2 linked regions of the Styela clava genome follow. The protein of the gene in region 2 interacts with the protein of the main gene of each other region in a biochemical or structural test. Links are inferred from orthologs where the notes say so. Each region holds a gene or a part of one and is shown on either strand. Other genes may lie near its edges.

Evidence for each region.
Region 1: the proteins of deubiquitinating protein VCPIP1-like (region 2) and uncharacterized protein LOC120341967 form a complex in vitro, tested with the Homo sapiens proteins (2 studies listed by BioGRID). The link is inferred for Styela clava from reciprocal best matches to the Homo sapiens genes VCPIP1 and WAC.

The regions. Positions count from the first base shown.
Region 1 is NC_135252.1:8,106,608-8,116,108, forward strand, and holds the start of uncharacterized protein LOC120341967, read right to left. Parts: upstream 3,320-9,501; 5' UTR 3,171-3,319; coding exon 3,149-3,170; intron 1,507-3,148; coding exon 1,405-1,506; intron 450-1,404; coding exon 370-449; intron 1-369. Other genes in the region: uncharacterized protein LOC120342255, read left to right, coding at 6,663-8,921.
Region 2 is NC_135262.1:5,496,785-5,507,787, forward strand, and holds the start of deubiquitinating protein VCPIP1-like, read right to left. Parts: upstream 5,238-11,003; 5' UTR 5,175-5,237; coding exon 5,121-5,174; intron 2,820-5,120; coding exon 2,694-2,819; intron 1,808-2,693; coding exon 1,674-1,807; intron 1,045-1,673; coding exon 890-1,044; intron 1-889. Other genes in the region: RNA 3'-terminal phosphate cyclase-like protein, read right to left, coding at 5,850-6,962. UniProt on the Homo sapiens protein: Deubiquitinating enzyme involved in DNA repair and reassembly of the Golgi apparatus and the endoplasmic reticulum following mitosis. Necessary for VCP-mediated reassembly of Golgi stacks after mitosis.

The sequences.
Region 1 (9,501 bases), on a different chromosome or scaffold from region 2:
GCATATTTTTCTAATAGACATCTAGTTGTAAAATAAACCATAACAGGAATGGTCAGCATCATACGTATCTATGCTGCAATGGATGACATTTTTTTTACTACTCCTATTTTTAAACATGAATAATTTCAATCTATAAAATAATAATTAATAATAAAAACTAAATTAAAATTTAGGAAATATAAACGACAAAGCACTTTCAAACTTATCGATAAATCTCTACTTTATCAACATCATTCCTTTATTTAGCTCAAAATTAGCTCTATTCATATTACCGGCATAATATAAGACAACAGACAAGTCATTTAAAAACGCAAATATCAAACAATACTATCGTTTACATTTTCACAGATTGTTAAAACTGTCTCTAACCTGAGAAGTAACCGACTTTGTTGATCTGTGATCACGATTTGATTTTACAGAGGACGATGAGCCGATGTCACCAGATGATGCTAAAATTTAAAATGTAAACAAACTGAATATTCAATGCAGCCACTTCCTGTGTGGATCATTTGATTGAGTTAGGTAAATATATATATATATCTTCCCAAATATGATCAACTGGCGGACCACGGTCTGAATCCGGACCTTCCGGGTATTCGATTCGGACCGCGCCTAATTCTTTATTTTGGAACATTGGCCCCACTTTTGGAGTTTCCATTTTTAAAATCACTTTTATAAATTTAAATATATATGAAAAGAACTATAACGCCATAATACACAATCTTGATTAGCTAATAATCATTAGTCGGCCGTGAAAGTGTGTGTTTAAGGATGTCGGAATATAAATTCTGGAAAGACTGGACCCAAATATTTTTATATTTATAAGTTTTATATGCGGATCTTCGGTAAAAATAGTTCAGTAGCCCTGGCCTGCCTACTCTATGATAGGACAATTTATACAAGTGGACTATGGCATTTGATAATGTATCAAAAAATATGATAATAAGAACCCACTGTGCAAAGATAGTTGCTTATGAAGAATAATAGCAGATATTTAATCTCATGCAAATATTTTGGTGAGAAAGACTATAAAACTTGTATGGAAATAATGAATGCAATTCCACAACGACAAAATGAAATTCTTCAATGAATTTTTGCATTGAAGAACTTTAAAAACTCCAAACTTTATTGCTAATATTTAAGTTATATTAATAAGTCCAGAGACAGCACAATAATCAAACTTTTATGAGACAGATGGTTTAATGGAATCCAATATTACTGGTGCTGGGGACCATTGAAACAAGCTTTAATTCTCTCAATTCTAAAAAACATCTTTAATGGTGATTGTATGGTTGAGTTGTCTACATTGTGCTTTCCACTGAATTTGAAACACTAACTTTCCATATGCTGACAAGGTTAGCCTAACCAATTTGAGTATGTTGTAAATTTATATTATACGCTTACACTTATCATTGAATTTGTGCATTCCAAACATCTCTTTCTTCCCATCTACATGTCTATGATGATGCTGATGAACTGCTTCAGATTTTCGCATTTCATGCATCCCTGTAAAAATACGAGGAAATAAGACAAAATGCCCAATTTGACAAGGCCAACATAAAAATACTAGATGAATAATTACAAAATATAAAGAAAAAACATTTCTCAAATAGGTGGAGTGTGCCTAATGATCAGGTTCAAAGCTCATGCTCAACGATAAAAACTCTTGTGCTTCATAACTATAGCAGTATAAAGCCGAATAGCAGCATGATGTTACAGCACTTCGAAATAAAAGATTATCTGTAAAAGGTTCATAAATAATTCAATTCATGATTTTTCAAGAGAATGCAGAGTAGTATAATGCCACACTATGTTTATATACTACAAGAAGAGTCTGTTAGCAGAAAGATCCAACCAAGACCAGAGTCGGTATTTTTGTTATTAGGATTGAATAAAGCAGTTCTAAAAAAAAATTTTTCAAACCCATCTGACAATGTGGTGGTAGCGGTAATTATTGCCTCCTGTGTGAGACTTTAGCTCATACTGTAAAGAAGGCCTAATACTTTCAAAGCACGTCTAACAAACCACAAAAGCAGCTCAGTAGTCTTCCCATTTGTAATAGGTACCCAAGAGATGAGAGCAAATAGGCAAGTAATTTATTCAGTCAATAATAGGAAAAGTCAAAGATTTCATTTCTTCAGATCTATGTAGCATGACTAAAGCAGAATATAAACTTTTTCTTAATTAACTTTCATTTTACTTTGGTAATGCCAGTAATGCCAACCTCAATGAAAAATTCCAGTGGCTTCAGGGACCCCTATGCGAAAGTTTGATTGCGTTTTTCTATATGAAAAGCAAACCCTTACAATGGCAAAACGAAACAATCTTCAAAGTGTAGAAAGGTCAATAATAGTGGCAAGCCTAATGTAATATGTATTTGATTATATTTAACCAATATCTGAATATACATATATTAATAGACTCTCGAATTTAAATGTAAACTTGCAGATTCCCTGGAATTTACTGGAGGTGATGCTGTGGAACCCCAGTTGAAAATCACTCTATTATGTGTCAATGGCAACACTGCACGGTCAGAATACTTGTATTGTGTATGTATGGGTACCGACCAAAGACAGAAATATGTTCACTGGTTTTTAGGTTACAGGCAAAGTTTGATGAGTTTATATTTATGTGGTCATAAACCATTATATAAGTTATGTGTTGTCTGTGTAAATATATTAAGTTCAACTTGGTGTTATTGGATTTATATCAAAGTATCATAACTACACAATATTCAATTTATTATTTTAATGACTTTTAAAAAGAATGCTGAGACACAGTTTGATGGAGAATCTGTGAGAGTACAGAACACCATTCAGGATCGTCAATATAATGCAGTCTTGGACCAGGCACTTGATGTCCATTGAAGTGCATTCTTCATACTGCTGTACTACAGACTGCTGTCTGACTGTTGTCTGAAAAAGATGGTTATGCTGAAAGATAAGAGATTAGGTTGAACAGTATACCGGTACCTTCTCACAGATTCGGTATACCCAAAACATTTAGGCGGCGAGCAATTACTATATTCAGATATTGAATGCCACCGATATGATATCAAGATACTGGGACATTGTACATGGCGGGCAGCCGGAAAGACGACTCATAACAAAATATACCGGTACCGGTACCGGTACAACGCTATATTTACCTCGTTTTTGTACTGCGTTCATGGATAAGGCGTTACTTCTCTGATTTGGAAAGTATCGTTTGATCTTTCGGCGATGACCATCGCATCACAGCTCCGAGAACAAAACAAGTGGCACCATCAACGGTACGCGGACTAGAGACGATTGACAGGGCTTGGCTGAAAGACTGGACCAATGAAAAAAGCTTAGAAGTGAAAGGAGTAAAACAACAGCGTTTTCCGGTTATCCGTTCTTCGTAACGTCTGTTTATTAAAATCATAACTTTGATGATTTTAATTTGTCTATAGAAGTTCTGGATCTGAATATGTTACCCAAAGGGGTGGCTTATGCATAAATATTTGAAATGTAAAAATGAGGCGATGGTTTTATATTTTCACTCCACGAATTGAGTGGTTTCGACTCCGACGATTGTATTGTGACCAGACAGTGTGTACCTACAAATTTTTCTTTTACCTATTATGCTTATGTTTTCCAATAACGTTTACCTCATCTCTATCTCTTCTTAATGCTTGTGTGCGTGTACAATCACAAGCCTTACAATCACAAAAAGAGTTCAAATGGGGAGTAGAGATCTTATCGAGAGGAATTCGGGGAAGGGAGAAAAAGGCGATTTATAAGTCGATCAAGTCAAGTCAAGTTTATTTTTTCCAACCAGTAAAAATCAAAAAACATGCAAAAATATAAAGAAAAAATGATATTCAAATTACTGGGGAAGGGAAGCCGCGGGGAACCAAAACTGGTTATCGAGCTGCAACACCCAAGGTTCTAACACCTAGTTTAACAGATCGGGGAGAAGAGTTTCAACGAATAGATATCATATAAATTTTACTAATTAGCTAACTAATTTCAATTGTTATATATTATTACTAGAAATTACCGTACATCTTACCAATGAGAGTACCCTATAGCCAACAACCTGGCGAGGTGAACGAATGGAGTGTATGCTATGTAAAACTACAAACATTTACTAACTCTGCAGTTCGGGATTTGAGAATGAGTAATATTCGAGGTCATTGCCCAAAATGCTCTCAAAACCGTCAAGCATGCCAACATTGCCTATACACTTGCTTTATGGCATTTTGTGGTTTCTGCGTATGAATGTTTGCGCGTTCTGACCTCATATTTTTCATTTTTGATATTTATCTTATGGCTAAACCATCAGTCGTCACAAATCCAACATATTTATTATGCTCGGACTTTTTTTTTAAATGGCATGTAACAGTAACTGGTTTGATTGCACATACCAAAGAGGTTGTTGTTACTACAGTGATTTTGACGGATGCAAAACTGAGAATGAAAAATTCGACCAAGCAACAATGGATTTTAATAATGGAAGATGTATTTGGCGACTTCGGCAAAGATGGTGATCTTCCATCATCTACTTTTTTGAAAACAAAGAAAATGGGCAAGAAACATGAGCGAAAGTACAGATTGATAAAGGACGATTTTCAATCTGAAAATGTCAAGATCAGCAAACCTACATGCCAACCGTCAACCTTCGCTCATTACCCCAATATTTTCAAAGCTTTATTATGGATCTTATGTTACAACATTTTGTGATAATTACTTAGCCTTCAAAATGGAACATTCAGGACACTCATAAAAAGGATATTCGCGTGGGTCTAGCTCAGACGCCTAAGATCTGAATGGGGAAGATCAGTAATCAGTAGTTTATTTTTTAATACGCTGAAAAAGCACTCACGACATACAAAGTATCATAGGGCCTATGAAGAAATTGCATTTCAGGTTGAAGGGAAACGCAGAAACCCAATACTGGTTATTTAGCATCGGCACCCATTAAAAAAGTCTAGAAACCATAATAAAAAAGAAGAAAAATATGAAAAGACACACTAAGATACCCATTATGAAGCCGATGTGATGAAAAGAAGTATATATAATCCATCTGGTTGTCTGGACCATACGATTCTTTGATAATATAGTTGTATGTATCAAGCCTTTTTATTATAAAGGAATTCAAATGCAATATGGGTAGTGTCGATTTGCTTGATCAAAATATTGCACGCTTTTGCAACTATCATTTGAAATCCCGAAGATGCGTTGATCAAAAGATTTGCGTTGATCATTTGTATCAAATGGTTGAATCTGAGGGACTTCGAGGGAACAGAAATAATCGACTTAGCTGTCGGCATTGAATTGGTCGGTAAATTCATGCGAGAGAAACATAGGAACAATCGATGCTCGAGACAGCAAGATGGAAGCTCCGGAATGTTGGACGTTGCGAAGACTAAAATCATATACTCCAATTTCTACAAATTCGAAACAATTTTGTAACATAAGAAGCAACGCCCGAAACTAGTTTTCGTGTTTTTATGTTTGTTGTTTACTTTTAAGCTTTATTTGTTTACAAAAAAACAGCAGCTAATTAATTAATTGTTATTATTGGTATTCGCATTTCGGCACAGGCACCGTCACATAACTTCTAAATGTTTTTGTATCGTTCACGACTTTCACTCATCGAAATTATTTGCAACATTACAAATAGGCTTCGCCCGTGAAATTTATTTTCTCGTGATCATGTACTCTGTTCATTAATTTATTATGGTATGATTGTCGTGTTTTCACTTGTGTGAGTGTGGGTGAATGAGCACAGGCGCTGGTTACAGCATTCATTATAAACCTTTATATAGGTTTTGCCCATTTTCCCGATTTTTCAGTTGCTTTTGTCTGTGTGTTTTTTTACTTGTGTTGTGGACGAAAGATCGAAATAAAATTGTATTGTATAGGATGGTAAATGCCTCTGTTCTGCAATTGGTGCAAATAGCTGTTGTGGATTCCTGGTTATTAAATCGTATAGATTGCAAACAGCATTCTTTGGAGAAGCCACTGAACCCAAAATTGGGTTAGTAGCTCAATGTGTAATGTTTCTATTCGTTTTACAGAGGAGAAATTGTTTTCCTGGCTTCCATATTCAGGATTACATTAGTTGAAACATTTCTTTATTTCGTTCATAGCAAAACATTAAACAATACAATGAAGAAAAAAATAATGTCAAAAGTAAGCAAAATCTATAAAGAGATTTAGAAGCAGCGAGTGCTATTATTTTTTGTCGACCAGAAAAATACATTTGTCAATATTAAACAGATTACTTTTTTCAGATCAAAAACACCTAAATAAAAAATCAAACACGGAGGTTGATTTGTAAATTTCAGTAATTTGTAGATACTACGTACCGGTATATTATGATTGTGTATACGAAGCGAAAAATAGATGCAAAAATTGTTACTACAAAATCCTCGAACAACCACTAGCTGTCCTGCGAGCCATCAAATATTCTTAGGTATTTCGAATTTGAGCTCTGCAGTTACGGAACGCTTCGAAACGCAAATAAACATTGCACATTCTTAGTTACCAAAACCGATTTTTTCAAGACGGGTCGATGTCATTTCTAGATCAGCGTTTGGTTGCGTTGCTCAAGACTGTAAGAGAAAAATTTAATTATATATTTTACGTTTTTCCTCGGATGAAATCGGAGGTATTAAGCTCGCTTGAATAATAATGAATGCAAGTTCGCGCCGATCACCTTATCGCGGACGTCGACGGGATCGCTCAACTTCTGAAGAGCGTCCCAGGACAAGAACTTACGATCCAAGCGAAACAGATTATTCCGATGACTTCGAACCAGATGCAATAAGCAAAAATGCTACACCACCGCCAAAACGCAGGGGAGGAAATGCTAGAGGAAGAAGACATGATAGTGGTTCTTACTACACAGACCAATCTTCCACTTCACATTTACATTCTTCCGGCAGCAAAAAATCAACTCAAAGTGTAGCTCGTGGTTTGAAAGGTCAGAAAAAATCCAGACCCAGGTATGGCTGGAAATCCAACAATTCGGGTAAGCCGGAATCGATTCGAGCACATAGGGATAATATAACAACCAGAATGTTGTCAGCAAAACAAAGAAAAATAAATGAACTACAAAATGAACTTGTCGAAACTGAACACAGATTAGATGGTATGCTTAAAGAGAACAAACTTTTAAAAACTGTTCAGCACCGACAGGATAAAGCTCTCAAACGATTTCAAGATGTTGAAAGTGACTTGCCCCGACTAATAGCTCAAAATTTTGAGGATCAAAGAGTCTTAAAAACCAGACTTAAAAAGGCACAGGAAGCCGAACGAATCTTAGAAGAAAAACTCCATGAAAATAATGATGAAATGCAGAAAATGGAGAAAACCTTGCGGAAGCTGAAAAAAGTTGTTTATGACAAAAACTTAGGGGAAAGATCAGAACTTGCAAGACAGCTTACAAATACAGAGAATAATTTAACTGTTGCTGAACGGAAAGTCAAAGAGTTGGAGAAAAAATTAGAGTTAACAACGAATAGTTTCTCGAGACAAATCAAATCAGAAAGGCAAAAACACAAAGAAACAAAGGAAAAGTTGGATGCTTTGACTGATGACTATCAAACTGTGCAATCAAGATTAAAAGAAAAAGAAAGAGCATTAAATGTTAGTAATATTTATGCTTTAAGAAATAAAGAGCAATCTGCTATAAAGTCAATTCAATCTACACCCAGGAAACATTTTTTGCTTAATTCAACTTTTACTCAAACTGAAGCACCTCTTCCATTAACATTCCACTCAAATAATGCAACAGTGAAGCCGACACAGATGGGTTTGAGACGAAAAGAGTCTCCTAGTGAGAGAAAAAAAGATAGAACGAAACCAACTGAAAATCACTCGGATTTTCGATCATCTCCTTCAAATTCTTCTCCTGTTCCTACTGCAAATACCATGGGCATTTTGACTTCTAGTCCAACTACAAATGGCTTACATTCAACCACAGGTCATGTTAGCAAAGAGCAAAGTAAAACCACTGACCAACATGCATTTCTCACTTCACACCCTCTATCAAATTCTTCAACACCAACTCACTCAATGGTAGCTGATTCTATTGAATTTGAAAAACCAGCAACCCAGTTTGAACCAAGTTATTATGAGTCTTCATCACTGAGATCAAATGTTAAAGTAGAAGAAGAAAAACAAAACTCAATAAGTGAAATAAAAAAGCAACAAAAACTGGAAGAAGAAAGGAGACGATTAGCAGAAGAGCAAAAAAAGAAAAATGCTTTGTTAGCAAAAATGCGCGAAATTGAGCACGATGAGCCTAATTCTCTTCCTCTTGAAAGCAATAAAAATTCTTCAATTTCACCTGCACCATTGTCATTTGAAACTATCAAAAATCCGCCCATTCCAAGCAAAGTCACAATGCACCCTAAATCAAAGGCTGAACTTGTGAAGTCATTATTGGGAACTGACACTAATGACTCTGATCCAGTTGTGGAAAATCTGCATATGGGATTGCCTTCAAATCCGAAGAAGGTTGAAAAACCTGAAAAGGAGTTGTCATTTGGAGGATATGCTCCTTCTGTTGGAACTACCCAAGCTAGCAGAAAACCTGTCACTATCAACAAGAAGCCAGCCATGATGTCATCTGATTCTGATAATGATGAGCCAATGTTTGACTTAGATAGTGGTACACAAAACAAAAAATCGGATTTATTATCTCAACTTTTTGGAGAGCAAAGCACTGATAAACTTAAAAATGATTCTAATGAATCTTTGAAAGCAAATGGGACAGGAGGAACGACTCCACGTGCTAAACCTGTTCATTCAGGATATCCATGGGAGAAAAATGTTGTAACAACAAACCATGTTAATGGTCATGTTTCAAGTAAAACTAAGACAGGTGTACCTGTTAAAGCTACTCCGTCCATTCATGAAGATGACATTGAGGAATTGGTGTTGTGAGACTTTAAGAATCACTTAGCATTTACAACCTTAAATTTCAACTTTTAAGATTGAGTTGCTTTGAAGCAGCAAAGAAAGCATACATACCAATTTTTTGTATACATTTTTTATCTATAATTCGGAACTATTGTGTAACTAAATAATAAATAAGCTATTTCACTTATCATTCGTTAAACTTTGTTTGTTGGTATGGATATCAACAATGTTCAATACCGGTATTTGCACTGTTACTATTCTGCAATTCATTTTAAATTTAAATTGGTGAATAATGCCCCTAATCATGGAGTACCCAAATCATTGTTTATACCACATTGAGTCCATTTCTCTGACTTAAACTTTCCTGTAAGTTGGTAAATTGTTACCATTATTGACTACAAGCGTTCTGATCTTGTGATTACTACTCCTAATCTTACAAAAATATTGCTGACAAAAATAAATTAATATTGTTTTTGTAAAGTAAAAAGTAATTCAAACAGTAATTCTTAAGCCGTCCAGGTGTGTGTATATATTTTACTGTGACTCTGACTTGCTGTCATGTGTTATGTGGCTTTGACAGCTTTATCAAATTGTTGCAAACCAT
Region 2 (11,003 bases):
CAGCGCAAAACAGTGTGGAAACAGCGCAAAACAGCGCGAAAGAGCGCAAAACAGAGGGAAACAGTGTGAAGCAGAAAAAAATTTTGCAATGAGTTCGGGGCACCTTGTTTTGAGTTGGAGTATCACGGCAGCAAATTAAAAACACAAACCAACGTATGTAGCCAGTAATGCTGTAATGGCAGGTCTGCCCCTGCTGGTGACACATTTTGGGTACCATAATTCAGAACATTTTCCATATGGATATGGTTGGCTTTAGGGTTAGGGTTAGGTAAAAAGGGACCTCCAGAAGTATGTGCACCAAGATGGCACACAACCTGAAAATAGTATGTGTGTGTAGCGGATTCAGGTTGTGCAACATATTGCTGCACATACTTCTGGAGCACCAAAAAGGTGGATAAAATTTCGCATGATGACCTATAATCCGGTACATAACCTTGTAAATATGCCGGAAATAGCGCCATAAAACCATAGCGAGAGGCGCCGTGGTTCTTTCGTGGCAGGAGGTGGTAATGACTGCGTCTCCTGTTTTGCGCTGTTTTGCGCTCTTTGCGGTGTTTCGCGCTGTATTCAGTAAGTAGTAAGACCCCATATACATGTATATTTCAGCAACAAATGGTAATTATTTTTTTTTTTTCACGATACATCATTTAATAAATGGTGTGATGTGTGATAAATCGTATTCCACTAAGACAATTCTTCTATTTTGAAGACTAGCACAATTTTTTTCCAAATCTCGCTAACAAATAATCAAGGTAGAGTCGAGCCATCCTATTCCATGTCAGATTTCAAAATTTCTGATTTATAGTCTTTCAAATTTTAAATTCTATTTTACGAAGAAAATAATACAAAGCAAAAGAGCAAAGATACAGCATGTATTTTACAATCTTACCTAACAGACCATTCAAATACTCGACACTGCCAGATTGATCCTTCCCATAACCAGTTATATTGATATGTTCTGGTGAGATAAGAAATGCACGATGGCTCAATAATCTTCCACAATCTGCAGTTTCTCCGTGACCAAGTTCAAGTAACAGCTTAGGGCTGCACAGGAATAATTAAGGTATTTATGATGTTGAAATCAGCGAAAACGATGCAGCTTTTGCAACTGATTGATGAGAATTGGAAAAATTGACTAAATATCTTTTGATATAAATAGAGTAATTAAAAAATTCATACAGAATCGTTACTTAAAATGAATAAGCTATTAATTTTCTTCTTGTGCATGAGGGAAGCTGAAAAAAAAAGCCGGTAGGCGCCCAGTATCACTGCTGATACATGAAGCGGCATGCACTTCAGTCAACCGCGCAAAATTGCATCTATAGCGACAGCGTAGTACAATGTGACAGTGACCAGGATACCAAAACTGCCAGTTTATTTTGAGTGCTGTAGCTGCAACCCTCATAGGTATCATCCTTGAGTGAGTGGTATACTGCGGCTAATAATAAATATTGTATGATAAAATTCCCATGACTTCCCCAGTTCATGGATTATCAATAAAAAAACATATGGGCTGTTTTGGAACCTGACACAAAACAACATACTACAACCAGAAACCCTTGAAAGATATTTGACAATAACAATAATGCATAATACCGTAAATCATGGTGCAATCATTTCAATTTGGCACTCGAGAAACAAACTTGGCTGAACAAGACAAAATCGAAACATACTTTCCAGCTTTATCCATTCCATATCGGGTGAATAGAGGAGACAACAATTTACAGTGATAATTGGATAAACCTTGAACTTTAATAGAATCACTTCCTTTCTTGGGCAATTTTGCATCCCAGACGATCGATTTCAACTGAAGTATAGAAAATTAAATCAGATATGTTCAAAATGAATAAAATATTACACTATTAAGTTGCAAATAAGCTGAGTTTTAAACTAAAAAAAAGTTGCCAAACTAAGGGGCTTATACGCACATAACTCCAATCGCACTCAAACAAAATGACATCATGGTCTTTTAATTCTAATAGCTCCAACTCGAACCATGCTAAGTGCTGACGATAAAAGTCCGCTTATATGTAAATTTTCATAAATAAACAGTTTTAGGGCCGTTTTTTCGGGGTTGGCTTAAATGTGAGATCAGCTTATATGCGAGGATATACAGTAAGATATATTTAAAATAAGTTATATTTCTGAATTGAAAATTGTTGATTTTAGAAATAGGTTATACAGTATATCTTACTTTCCTGAATATTTGAAATTTTTCAATTTTGAATAGATTTTATGAAATGTTAAAAATCAATTCTGAAAAATTAACATCTGATGTGTAGACTGAAAACAAGTTCATTAATAATGACCATAGAAAAACCAATAAAAACAATGTTTATTTTAACTCATGTTTGAAATTTCCGAAAATATTACTACAGAATGTGTTCGATAAGTAATATATTAATCATTTTATTATTTTTGAATTCACCCATTCATTTTGTGCAGTGATTCAACAAAGATGAACCCTTTGTTATGCACACAATTCAATAATTAAATTCAAAAATTAGTATATTTAATGGGATTTCCATGTAATATGTCAATAAAGCTTTTCAATTAGATATTATCAATAAATAGGCTTTGTGTAGGATGAAAATCACTAAATGTGACTAAGTTAATTTATTAAAATATATTCATCAAAATTAATATAGTCGATAAGTCACTATTCAAATTCCACCTAGCCTGACTTGACTCACCACTTCTGTGAATGCTTCTTCCCCATCTGTGACCTCTATAATGTTGTGAAGGTCAACTTGTGAATGACTTTGGCCACAGTTTGAACATTCTATGACTCTCTTGTGAGCAGGAAAATAAAGTTTGCTCTAAAAAGAAATGAAAAATGGATTTTTGAATTCTGAAATCACTATAATGTTGAGTATTCACTTAATTGATATAGAAACCATTGTGAGTGAAATATTCTTAGGACAATAAAAGAGACTTTTATCGAGAAATATGACCTCTCAGCTATAAGCATTTTCGAATTTTAATTGAATGATTTTCAACTAAGTTGAAGCAACAGCTCGGTTACAGGCAGGGATGGCCAAAACCGAATAGTTCACTATTTCGAATACATTTTCGAATATGAAATTTCGAATACTTCGAAAATAAAATCCATTAATTGAAGCTTATCTAAATGTATGTAGGAATTTCCATACAATAAGCAATGGAATAACTGCATCTACAAGTTACAACCTAGCTATATTACCAGGCATTTCATATTCGCAGATAATTGCAGTATATATTTTATATACCATGAGTCATGTTAACAGAATTAAATTAATACGGCAATAGTGGTATCGATGATGGATTTGAATATTTGCGCAACACAAAATCATCCTAGTGAAACGCCCATACTTTCAGATACCAGCCATTATCCAAATTATTTGCTAAAAAGCGGGATAAAGTATGAGTTATTTTTCCGGCTTGTGACAATTTTTTCGTGAGTACAAAAATACGAATCAAAAATTAATTATATTCGGGAACTTTACCACACATTTTAAGTCCGAAGATCGCCGTTGTATGTTTGAGTAATAATACTTTTATTATTTTATAAATATGAAAATAGGAATCAAAAACTATTTATAATCGGGTAGTTTACCACACATTCTAAGTCCACAGATCACCGTTGTATTTTGTAAATACGAAAATAGGAATCAAAAATTAATATTAATCGCGAGTTTGCCACACAATTTATGTCCACATAGTTTAGTTATTTTATAAATACGAATCCGAAATTATAATTGGGCAGTTTACAACGTATTTCATGTCCGCTAATACCCGTGGTATTTGGTATTAATACTTTCATTATTTTATCAATATAAAAATAGGAATAAATATTTGATAAAATCGGTCAGTTTACCACACATTTATGTCCACAGATTGTCGATGCAACCATGAGTTACATTGAACAGAATTAAATTAATGACATTTTAAATGCTGGTACCAGTCATGGATTGAATTATATTGCGCAATACAAAATCATCCTGGTAAAAGATTGATACTTTTAGCTATCGTTATCAGAATTATTCGCCAGAAATTATTTTCTAATAAATCGACTTGTTTTTCCAACTTGTGACAATTTATTGGATATCGTAACAATGACTGCTATAAATACCGTATTTCCCCGGCTAATAAGTCCACATGGCAAATAGGACGATGTCTATTTTTAGCACTCCAAAAAGGGGTTTTTCCATATAGGCCTCCAATAAGACGGGTAGAAAAATTGTGTCCCTGTTGTTCAGTTATGCTGATATTATGCGCTAATAATTTTAAATGTTTAGAACCAGATCATGTTAGTTTGGTAGAATCATACTCACAGTATTTACTATTTTTAACAATTGAGCGGTAAATTTAAGTTGTAAAGCGGCAATCATTTTGGACAACCTATTAACCCGAATGTTGAAATAATTTTGGAATGTGATAAGTAATACACTGTACGTCCAAGGGTTATTTCACAGCTGTGTTTTCCTGTTGTGTTCTGCTGAATCGGCAAAACGAAAGGGTCACAAATCACTTTATCTCGGTGGCCTAGAAAAGCCACTTATTAGCCTGGAAATACGGTAATTGTCAATTTTTCGACGTAATGGAAATGGATTTGTAAATTAGAAGCCTCCTAGACGAATGTCGGCAATGTCCACCCACGCAAACGTGCAAATGTGTCGCAACACTATGCGACGTACGGTCGCACAGAATATAAACAATCAAAGTGCCGATTCTAATTCACCGTCATTACAATACGTGAGACAGCGTAAAAAGTCGTTTGAAGATTCCCGTAAAACGAAACACCACGTTTACGGCGAAAAGTGGCTACTATTCGGAATTATTCGAAAATCAGCCGAAAAAGTATTCGAATACTTTGATATTCGAATACATTCGAATATTCGATTCGTTTTGGACAACCCTGGTTACAGGTAATGAAGATCATGAATGTTTTTATAAAATAACAATTAGATTTGATAACTGATATTCATAATTTTGAAATAATTCTGGATGAAATGTAACAAATCCAAGATTTAAATTAAATGGTAAATACAATATATGGAGATTTCAAGTAAATACAGCAAAAATGAATGTCCATAACAAAATTTTAACAGCTGTTCTATGACTAAAAATTTGAAACTAACCTGACATTTTTCATCTGGACAAAATCCAGAATAAACTTTGTAATCCAACGACATTGTCACATATTGATACTGGATATAATTATATAACAATTTACACTAAAAAACATGATTGAGTGATGATATGCTTTCAAAACATGAACGAATCAAAGACTTAGCAGAGAGTAAAATGGAAATTGGCACCGAGAAGTATAGAGACAAGTAACAAGAGACATTAGTTAAAACTAAAGTTGTAATTCAGTATGCAATAAATCATTACAAAAAAGGTTCTATTGAGTTATAATTATAATGTTCCAAAAAGAATCAAAAGTTGAAGCATTACTAAATAAGCCTGCTGAAAAAAGATACTGTGTAGCTCTTAATAAAACTTCCGTAATGATCAATCAGATTTTATTACAATCAACTAGTAAGACGTGAGTCAATATTCATAATGACTTGAGTCTATCCATTGAAAGGACTCAACTTGACTCAGTTATAGAAACCGATTTGACTGTGCAGTGGTTGAATTGACTTATCAGTTCCATGACTCCCGATCTTAAATTTTGAAATTCATTGACTCAAATACACAACTACGTCAAAAATTATGATTATTATTCACTAAAAACAATATTGAATCTTTAATTTATTTGGTCCCCATAGCTTATATCCATAATTAACTTCATAACATATAGTCTCCATAACTTGTATCATTACTTACAACCACCAAATCATTCATTCATTATTTTATTTCGTTTATCTCATAGTTTTGCTGATATTAGAGTATCCAATCCCAACACAAGTCATTATAACTTTATCACCGCCCATCCTCCCCCCTTTTTCATCATGATCAAACGTTTTTGTTTCAAGTTTAAACATTACTTGGAAAAAATCTCTTATGTGTCTTAGCAATTCTATTGTGTAGTCCGTTAAAGAACCAACCATCAATTTAGAAACATCTTGCTCGCAAAGAACCATGAATAAAGCTGCTAGTCCTTGATTTACAGAGTCCACACATCCTCCGTTGAATATTTCTTCGAGCAAATCGTTTGCAGTTTTTGTGCCTAATTCTTCAGGAATAACAGGTTCACCCTGCCCTTTGGGATTTGATGAATTTTCCACGGCTAAAACAACACCTGTTGTGGTTTCCGCGGTTAGTACGATTCCAAATCCAGGAGATTTCCCAGCAGCATTTCCTTTCAAATGATCAGCATAAATATAAATATCAGGCAAATAAGTATTTAACACAGACCTTGATGATTCTATAACACGATTTGGAATTTGTGGAGAAACATTTGATGCAAAAGCAGTACCACGTATCCGTTTTATTTTTCCTTGGTCGAAAAACTGAAGGGGTCTTAATTTTCTTGGATTTGGACATTGAAAAAACACCTCACCTCCCCCTTCAGGGGCAAATCCTCGCTTAATAACTTTGAGTTCCAGGTCATCAAGCACTCCGAACATTCGCATGACTGGTAAGCTTGTCAATCTATAAAAATCAACTGTCGGATCAGATGAATCATTGGTTACTCCACGAAGCGTCGCTTTAACCCTTTCTTTACAAAATGGTGCAAGGAAGAATATAACCTCTAATAAGTAACTGATGGAACGCTGAGGGTTACAATCATGATCTATCACCCCACCTATTAACAATCCAGGCCTAAAGATTAAAGTAGTTCCAGTGACATTGATTTTCGTTGTGGTTCCATTTGTAATTTTTTCCAGAAATCTAAGAAGATTAGCTTCGTATTCATTCAAACCAGGACTCTCGCTGTTGTCTCTGATCGAGGAAATACGAACAGGTTTTCCACTAAGAATTGACAGAACCAATCGTTGTCGCAAGTAATTTGCTCCGACATATTCTAACATTTTAAACCAGTTTAGTGAACAGATTAGAAATGTAAATTCTGAGAATAAAAAAAGAGAAAGGTACCCTATTAACCAAGAATACAATGCAGAACTGACACTGCCATACAGGAGTTGTCATATTATATTACTAGTTAAAAATATTCTTGTCTATCAAAGCAATATATCGCCGGATGAGAACAGAACAGGCCTAAGTCACAATTTTGAGTTTTGAGAAAAACGCAAAAAACAATTTGGAATTTTTTTATTTTCGACTTTCTAGATATTCACACTTAGTAAAAACCTGAGCTCTGAGTATTTTGATGTAGATGTCAATATCTTTGTAATCAATATTTTTTGGCACTTCAGCTTTAATTCCTTCCTGCTTTTTTAACCCCATAATGGACTTTGGCCCATTCTGTTCTCAACAACTTCTGAATTTTTTTGTATGGGATGCAAGGTAAAACAAGGTGACTTAGGCCTACGTTGCACTGAAGAAATTTTTAGGGATGCAAGTTTCGGACATTTCATTTCTGATGTTCATGCCCATCATATTGGAACTTGGGACTATCTTTTTTCAGTATTTTGGGGTTTTGAGCCATGCTCTACAAGGTGGTGGTCTTGAAATTCTCAATTTTCATAATATTAAAAATTTTAGCTGGACTTAGGTCCATTCTGTTCTTAACTTCTACAGTCCTAAGTCCAGCTAAAACTTTTATTATTGAGAAATTCAGGATTTCAAGACCACCACCTTGTAGAGCATGGCTCAAAACCCCAAAATATTGAAAAAAGTGAATTTTGCAAAAATGTGACTTAGGAGGCCCCTTCTGTTCTCATCCGGCGATATGTTGTACAGTATGATATATATAACAGAGGCTTGCTCTCAAGGTCAAAATTGACTAGGTACGGTATAGCTGCATAGCGAGCAACTGATTCATGCGTAAAAAGAGCTTGAAACAGAAACAGTGCAAACTGGCAGAACAAAACCAATATTCTACCCATTCCAACACTCAGACTAGTCATATACACACACACCATCTTTCAAACGATGTAAACAGCTAAAATAACCATTTCGGTTTCTTCATAATCATAATCACATTCCCCACGAACTAAAATGTTGTAGCATACGAGACCCGACACACTGACAAAGAGGAACATAATATGAAAGCCCTTGAAAGACGCTGTCCACTACCGCCACCAGCGTGGGAATTTTAGCCAGGCATGTGTGAGAAAGCAAAGCTACTGCCATCCAAATCGTTATTCTTGGGAGTATCTGGCACTGTGGTCGAAGGTTCTAAGTTGAAATTGTATTTTATAATAGTTTAGGATTAAAATAAGGACCTCTGGGTCTAGACCGTGCGCGAAGAGTTGCGCTGGCATTCCAAAAAAATGGCTGGAAACTCCCCATGATGGGAATGATTTCGGGAGTAGATTAGGAATTTTGAAATCGGGGATTATATTCAACAATTCGGTGGATAAATACGGAAAAAAGTGACCGAACTTCGTTCGTTTTATGATCCGACTACGTCTTTTTATTTTTACTTCTGTTTTCTCTGGATTTATTTTTTTTGCCCTATTTTTCTTCTTTATTTCGTATTTTCTATCTACTTACGTGTACTGCGTGTATTTTCTATCTACTTACGTGTACTGCGTGTCTGCGCTCTGGCCCGTCTTGGTTCCATTTTTTACTCACCTTCTTCGCCTGTCGATCGCAATGCCTTCTGGACCGCAGCATCGATCGGTCTTTCCATCCCATCCTTCGATGGATTTGATTTGTTCTTGAGGACCAGGTTGTGTACCAGGTAAGGGAGTTCAGGATATGCGCGACTCTTGGTGCGCTATCTTGTTTTAATTCCTTCCTTCTTATTTTGTCTTAATCCTATCTTACCTCTGAATTTTATTTTATTTATTAATTTGTTACCTTCTTTTTTTCCTTTTCCTGCTGCATCGCATCCTGCTTTTTCTTTCTTCTATCCCTCTTTGGGGGTTACTGAAGGAGTTCCGCCTTCTTGTCCGCACTTTCCAATTCTTCATATTTTTCAGCCTCTAGGTTTTCTTCTAATCCCTCACTCTTTCTTTTTTTTTTTTTACACCCTCACATGCTGCCAACCGTTTTTCCCTACAGTTTTTTTCTCTGCTGCTGCCATCACAGTCTTTCTTTTCACCCTCATCACAGTACACCTTTTTTCCTTGCTGAATTTGCTTTTTCCCTCTTGGGTTCTTCTCTCACAGCCCCTTCGCCGTTTCTGCTGCCCATTCGGTTTTCTTCTCATCCTCATGTTGCCCACCGTTTTCCCCTACAGTTTCTCTAAGTATCCCTGCGGCTGCTCATCGGGGCTTTTTTCCCTTTCTTTGGGATCCTTATTCTTATCAGTCTTTTTCTTTTCACCCTCCTTCCTGCCCCATCGTTGCTTTCTTTCCCCTTTCTTCGATCCCTGTTTGTTCATTTTCTTTTCACCCTCATGCTGCCCACCGTTTTTCCCTACAGTTTCTCTTCTTTCCGTTTCCCTTTCTTTTCACCATCATGCTGCCCACCGTTTTCCCTACAGTTTCTCTGCTGCTGCTCATTGGGCTTTTTCTTCGATCCCTTTCTGATCCTTTCTTTTCACCCTCTCCTGCGCCCGGCCTTCTTGGTCTTGCTCACCTTCTTCGCCTGTTCGTCTCGTCTTTTTGTCCGCGGCCCTTCGTTGCTCCCTGCCTGCCCTCCTTTATTTCTATACCTCTCTTACTGCCATCCGTATTTTTCCTTCTGTTTCTGTTTTTATTTTCTATTTTGTCGTAGGGCCCTGTTCACTTTCTCTATTTTGTTTTGATCTACCTCATCTATTTTTATTCATTCTGGCTTGGGGACTTGTACCTCCTGCAGGGTTCGAACCCAGCCTTGGTGCTTTACCGTACCTACACGCTTCCTTTGCGCCACAGCTTCTGACGAAGATGTGAGGGATCAAAACCTTAATTAATTAGCAACGTCACGCTTGGCAACCCTCTGCTATTTACTTCGACAATTAACAGGCTGCGTTGATCAAGACACGTGCATTCATAAACCATGGTTTTAACTTCACGTCTCACTGTTGGCATCGTCATTGGGAAATACGGTGACCGTACATTTGAACCCATACATTTGCGCCCGTATATCCGCGGGATCAATCTATATGAGGGTTATAAAATCCATAGGTTAGGGTTAGTATGGGTTCAAATATCCGCAAAAAAAACATTTCCATAGGTGCAATAGTATGCAGGTGCAATTGTCGTGGGTTCAAATTACGGGTTCAAATGTACGTGGGTTCAAATGTGAGCGAACCGGAAATACACTTATCTAGAGCAGGGGTTCTCAAACTTTTGGTGTTGCGGAGCCCTTGAAAAGGTTAACTATTATTCACGGAGCCCCGAAATAAATGTTAAAATTGTTTCTTTCGGATTAATATTCCTGAGCAAGTTAAAAGTACTTTACTCAATTTAAATGCTGAACCTTTTTTGAAACGGTTAATACAAGTCATAAAAAAATCTAAATTTCAAACATAAATTATATATACTAAAGCTGTAAATTTGACACTTGACAAACATGGTCGAATCTTTTCCCTTTTGACATGTTTGGAAGACTTAAAAGGCCGCTAATAATGTGCGCGATTGCATTTTGTTACAATCGCCGATTTTTCCTCAGCATGGCGTGTTTTTGAACCTTTAAACATCTTCACGCCGGTGTTTATTCTCCCTGATTCAAATTTCTTTCTGCATATACATGTATTGTTACACAATGACGACGTTAATGGCTTTTGTGTTCTCGTGGGGAATTATGAGTTCAATGTGAAAAACATGTTACCATATTATAGTCATCGGCGACGAAATGCTAAAAATAATAATTAATAAAGAGATAAATCTGCAACTCAAATTTCTTGATTAAAAAGCGGCATTCTGAAATATTAAAACTAAAACTTAAAATGGAAGATCACACGTTTGGTTTCAGCAGACTCACCTAGGATTGAAAACGCTTTTATAGACATTGCAAATCACAGAATTTGGTGTTATGTTAGGTTTTCATTGTAGTAACTGCGAAATCGAAACACA